Saccharomyces cerevisiae S288C: one gene and its partner. Each later gene encodes a partner of the first gene's protein in a complex. Each region holds a gene or a part of one and is shown in the gene's direction. Other genes may lie near its edges.

What was found. Proteins that work in one complex are often made in the same cells at the same time.
Region 2: PTI1 (region 1) and SSU72 share a complex: the UniProt entries of both Saccharomyces cerevisiae proteins name them as parts of the APT complex.

The regions. Positions count from the first base shown.
Region 1 is NC_001139.9:798,944-802,323, forward strand, and holds PTI1 (cleavage polyadenylation factor subunit PTI1), read left to right. Parts: upstream 1-1,602; coding exon 1,603-2,880; downstream 2,881-3,380. Other genes in the region: cystathionine beta-synthase CYS4, read left to right, coding at 1-1,123. UniProt on the Saccharomyces cerevisiae protein: Component of the cleavage and polyadenylation factor (CPF) complex, which plays a key role in polyadenylation-dependent pre-mRNA 3'-end formation and cooperates with cleavage factors including the CFIA complex and NAB4/CFIB.
Region 2 is NC_001146.8:227,482-230,214, forward strand, and holds SSU72 (RNA polymerase II subunit A C-terminal domain phosphatase), read left to right. Parts: upstream 1-1,612; coding exon 1,613-2,233; downstream 2,234-2,733. Other genes in the region: cysteine protease ATG4, read left to right, coding at 1-1,373. UniProt on the Saccharomyces cerevisiae protein: Component of the cleavage and polyadenylation factor (CPF) complex, which plays a key role in polyadenylation-dependent pre-mRNA 3'-end formation and cooperates with cleavage factors including the CFIA complex and NAB4/CFIB.

The DNA.
Region 1 (3,380 bases):
TCCAGAATCACATATTGGTGTTGCTAAGAAGTTGGAAAAAGAGATTCCTGGTGCTGTTATACTTGACCAATATAACAATATGATGAACCCAGAAGCTCATTACTTTGGTACTGGTCGCGAAATCCAAAGACAGCTAGAAGACTTGAATTTATTTGATAATCTACGCGCTGTTGTTGCTGGTGCTGGTACTGGTGGGACTATTAGCGGTATTTCCAAGTACTTGAAAGAACAGAATGATAAGATCCAAATCGTTGGTGCTGACCCATTCGGTTCAATTTTAGCCCAACCTGAAAACTTGAATAAGACTGATATCACTGACTACAAAGTTGAGGGTATTGGTTATGATTTTGTTCCTCAGGTTTTGGACAGAAAATTAATTGATGTTTGGTATAAGACAGACGACAAGCCTTCTTTCAAATACGCCAGACAATTGATTTCTAACGAAGGTGTCTTGGTGGGTGGTTCTTCCGGTTCTGCCTTCACTGCGGTTGTGAAATACTGTGAAGACCACCCTGAACTGACTGAAGATGATGTCATTGTTGCCATATTCCCAGATTCCATCAGGTCGTACCTAACCAAATTCGTCGATGACGAATGGTTGAAAAAGAACAATTTGTGGGATGATGACGTGTTGGCCCGTTTTGACTCTTCAAAGCTGGAGGCTTCGACGACAAAATACGCTGATGTGTTTGGTAACGCTACTGTAAAGGATCTTCACTTGAAACCGGTTGTTTCCGTTAAGGAAACCGCTAAGGTCACTGATGTTATCAAGATATTAAAAGACAATGGCTTTGACCAATTGCCTGTGTTGACTGAAGACGGCAAGTTGTCTGGTTTAGTTACTCTCTCTGAGCTTCTAAGAAAACTATCAATCAATAATTCAAACAACGACAACACTATAAAGGGTAAATACTTGGACTTCAAGAAATTAAACAATTTCAATGATGTTTCCTCTTACAACGAAAATAAATCCGGTAAGAAGAAGTTTATTAAATTCGATGAAAACTCAAAGCTATCTGACTTGAATCGTTTCTTTGAAAAAAACTCATCTGCCGTTATCACTGATGGCTTGAAACCAATCCATATCGTTACTAAGATGGATTTACTGAGCTACTTAGCATAAATAAGAACCCACGCTTCAAATAAAAGCAAACATAGAAGCAAAATCCGTCATTCCTTTCCTATTCAATTGCACCGTTCTCTTTATATAACTACTTAATTAAATAGCGCCTATACGAAGCAGCATTGTTCTATTATTTTTACAAATTCCTTATCATGCATGCATCACATCAGTGTTTGAATCTGTTAACTTTTCACTTTATTGCTCTTACCCGACTCTGAAGAAAAACAAAAAAACAGCGACATGTTGGAAAGGTCGGGCAGTAAAGCAGAATTTCAGAAATACTAGTACGATTGTTTGAGGTCTTGCGAAACCGTGCATTCATAATAGCACCTTTTTCAGTCGCTCATCCGGTCGTCCTATCTGTAAACGTCACTGTCAAACACGTTGCATTGATTAGATTTTATTATTTTATATATAGGTATATTTAGAAAACTCACAACTGGAGAAGACGAAGAACGAAGAACGAAGGAAAAAAATTGATGACAGATCCCAGAAGAAGAACAGGCCGTCATTTCTTGACACCGGAGAATTTATCCTCTACATTACAAATCACAAACTTACCTCCAGAATGGAACCAAGATATAATTACTTCGGTCGTGGCCGGTTCTGGTCCAGTTATAGATATAAAAGCTAAGAATGACCCGAGAACTGGTAAACTAACCGGTGTACTGTTCGATTATTTGACTAGTAAAGATTGTAAACGCGCTTGGGAAATTTTAAATAGAATTGAAAACTTTCCCGTAAAGATAGAGCAAATAATCCCACCAAATTATAAGGACCATCTTAGAGAAACAGCAAATAAAAATTCTCAAAAGCAGGTATTACAACTTAATAGAGATTCGTACCCCTTCGAGGCGGGTTTGGAGCTACCTTTCGAAATGGTGACAGAAGTCCCCATTCCTAGGCGACCACCGCCACCACAGGCTGCAAATAACACAAACTCTGTATCAAATAACACAAACATTCAATTCCCCGACATACTAAGTAAAGCATCTAAACACTTGCCAAGTTTCCAAGATGGCTCGATTATTGCACCAGACAAAATTTCACAAAATTTAAGTAAAATTCCGCCGTTGCAACTTATTGAAATTATATCAAATTTGAAAATATTATCAAACCAAGAAAACATCCAAAAATCGCAATTAGAATCTTTCTTAGATACTAACAGTGATATCACAATATCAGTGACCCAAGCCCTACTAGAAATGGGATTTATAGACTACAGCGTGGTGACTAAAGTGTTGAAATCCCAAGTTGGCGAGGCCCCATCTTTGCTTTCGAGTAATAACACAAGTAATTCGAACACCCCCGTAAGCGTAATTAGAAATAACACTCCGTTGCATGTACCTTCTAATGAAGTCAGCAACAATCCTAACAATATGCCACTGAACGTAGCTATGCCAATGCCTATGTCGACACCACCATTTATCCCTTTACCTCTGCAACAACAACCGTTCGGTTTTGCGCCACCGGGCCCTTTCATGCCTCCAGCTCAAGGCCCCTCCATGGGACAGCCTGTGTTGGCAAATCAACTCGGCCAGGTCCAGCAACAAAATATAAGTTCTACAGAAGGACCCTCTAACGCGAATAAAGCGAATGACAGCGGCACCATTAATATGGCGAAACTGCAATTACTACCTGAAAACCAACAAGATATGATCAAACAAGTTCTTACTTTGACACCTGCCCAGATCCAAAGTTTACCAAGTGACCAGCAACTTATGGTGGAAAACTTTAGAAAAGAATATATAATCTAAGTAATCAGAGCCATAGCGTATCAGAAAACCACACCTAATTAGATGGTTCTTGCATCTGTACCTCTTATCACTAAAAGCGGCACTAAACTTCCAACATTAAATGTTTGCCTTGTTAAATATATATTTTTGCCTTGGTTTAAATTGGTCAAGACAGTCAATTGCCACACTTTTCTCATGCCGCATTCATTATTCGCGAAGTTTTCCACACAAAACTGTGAAAATGAACGGCGATGCCAGAAACGGCAAAACCTCAAATGTTAGATAACGTGGATCTCCGACACATGTGAATTTATAAGTAGGCATATGAAAATACAGATTCTTTCCACTGTGTTCCCTTTTATTCCCTTCTCATGTGAAGAGTTCACACCAAATCTTCAAAATATAACTAATATAGTAGAGTTTGATTCAAAGGACCTTTTTTTTTGCCTCTTTGATTAGTTTATCTTCTTTTCTTCATTTTATCCCCTAATTTTATACGTTAGTTCAACCTAACAATCCAG
Region 2 (2,733 bases), on another chromosome or scaffold:
TATTAGGGGAAGTATATCCTGAGCGAGACGAAGAATCTGGCGCTGAACAATGTGAACAAGACTGTCGATATCGCGGTGAAGCGGTTAGTGACGGGTTTTTAAGCTCTCTTTTTGGTAGGGAAATTTCTTCTTACACAAAGGAATTTCTTTTGGATGTACAATCAAGGGTCAACTTTACATATCGGACAAGATTTGTTCCTATAGCAAGGGCGCCAGATGGGCCTTCACCTTTAAGTCTAAATTTATTAGTACGTACAAATCCGATCAGTACAATAGAGGACTATATAGCAAATCCTGATTGCTTTAACACTGATATTGGGTGGGGGTGTATGATAAGGACAGGACAAAGTTTGTTGGGGAATGCCTTACAAATCCTTCATTTGGGCAGAGATTTCAGGGTAAATGGTAACGAAAGTCTGGAAAGAGAATCAAAATTTGTAAATTGGTTTAATGACACGCCTGAGGCTCCATTTTCGTTACATAACTTTGTTTCTGCAGGTACAGAACTCTCTGATAAAAGACCAGGTGAATGGTTTGGTCCCGCAGCTACGGCAAGGAGTATACAATCTTTAATATATGGCTTCCCCGAATGTGGCATCGATGATTGTATAGTATCTGTTTCATCCGGCGATATCTATGAAAATGAAGTTGAAAAAGTATTTGCTGAGAATCCAAATAGTAGAATATTGTTCTTGTTGGGCGTGAAGCTCGGGATTAATGCGGTAAATGAGAGCTATAGAGAAAGTATATGTGGTATCTTAAGTTCAACACAGTCAGTAGGCATTGCCGGCGGTAGGCCGTCTTCATCGTTGTATTTTTTTGGTTATCAAGGAAATGAATTTTTACATTTCGATCCTCATATTCCTCAACCGGCAGTAGAAGATTCATTTGTAGAGTCGTGCCATACCAGTAAATTTGGTAAATTGCAACTATCGGAAATGGATCCCTCGATGCTCATTGGTATTTTGATTAAGGGCGAAAAAGACTGGCAACAATGGAAGCTAGAAGTTGCAGAATCTGCTATTATCAATGTTCTTGCTAAGAGAATGGATGACTTTGATGTGAGTTGTAGTATGGATGACGTGGAAAGTGTAAGTTCTAACTCAATGAAGAAAGATGCAAGCAATAATGAAAATCTCGGAGTACTAGAGGGAGACTACGTAGATATTGGTGCAATATTCCCACACACAACAAATACAGAAGATGTAGACGAATATGATTGTTTTCAAGATATTCATTGCAAGAAACAGAAGATTGTTGTTATGGGAAACACACACACTGTTAATGCGAATTTAACAGATTATGAAGTAGAAGGCGTCCTTGTAGAGAAGGAAACGGTAGGTATTCACAGTCCTATTGATGAAAAATGCTAGTGTAAGGAATTCACTAGTTCATAAGCATATATACTTGTTTTAATATATTCCCTAAAACTGAGGTATCCAGTTCTTTTGTTCTTATTCGTTTGATCATCCTTTACGTATTTTTCGTCTGCGGCAGTGGAAAGAACTTAAAAAACGAAAGATAATAAAGAAAAAGGCCAGTCGGCACGAATTAAAGACCACCTGTAAGAAGATTAAGACAACGGTGGTATAAACTAGTGTCGAAGTCCAAAATGCCTAGTCATCGCAATTCAAACTTGAAGTTTTGCACAGTTTGTGCATCAAACAACAATCGTTCAATGGAATCGCATAAAGTCCTGCAAGAAGCAGGCTATAATGTTAGCTCTTACGGAACAGGTTCAGCTGTGAGACTGCCTGGTCTATCGATAGATAAGCCTAATGTGTACTCATTTGGTACACCCTATAATGATATATATAATGATCTTTTATCACAATCAGCAGACCGTTACAAGTCGAACGGTTTATTGCAAATGCTGGATCGTAATAGAAGACTCAAAAAAGCACCTGAAAAATGGCAAGAAAGTACAAAAGTCTTCGACTTCGTTTTCACTTGTGAAGAGAGATGTTTTGATGCCGTTTGTGAAGATTTGATGAATAGAGGTGGGAAATTAAACAAAATAGTGCATGTAATTAATGTTGACATTAAAGATGATGATGAAAATGCTAAAATTGGTAGCAAAGCTATATTGGAATTAGCTGATATGCTCAATGATAAAATAGAACAATGTGAAAAAGATGACATTCCCTTTGAAGATTGTATAATGGACATTTTAACTGAGTGGCAAAGCTCACATTCTCAACTACCGTCATTATACGCTCCTTCATATTACTAAACAAAACGGTCAATTACTGTAGAAAAGCATAAGCATTAAGCGGCCCTCATGAATCCTACATTATCCGTGAAATTTCAATACTTTCACAAGTCTTCGATAGCTTCCTAGTTATATTCATTATATAATATTACGTTTCTTGTTGCGGCTCTCTTAAGCACATTATTTGCTTGTTGTCCACATAGCTATTTTTTTATCAAGAAGCTTGATATACAACACACTGTATTTTTAGTAAGCTGGACAATGTCTTGTCTCAATGTAGCGTATAACAGGTTTCATTCCAAAACACATCACCAGATATAGGACTGAAATGAAGAAAATAGAAGCATGAAACTTTAAAAGTTTCAGTACTTTAAGAAAGAAATAAATAGAAAAATGTTCCATTTATTTCTGAAAATAAATCAAAAATTATAAGATCCACCCGTTCCTACCAAGACCTTCCAAAATTTTTCCCATAACGGGAACGAGCAAAGTTGAGACTGCTCAAAAGAGCACATCTTCAA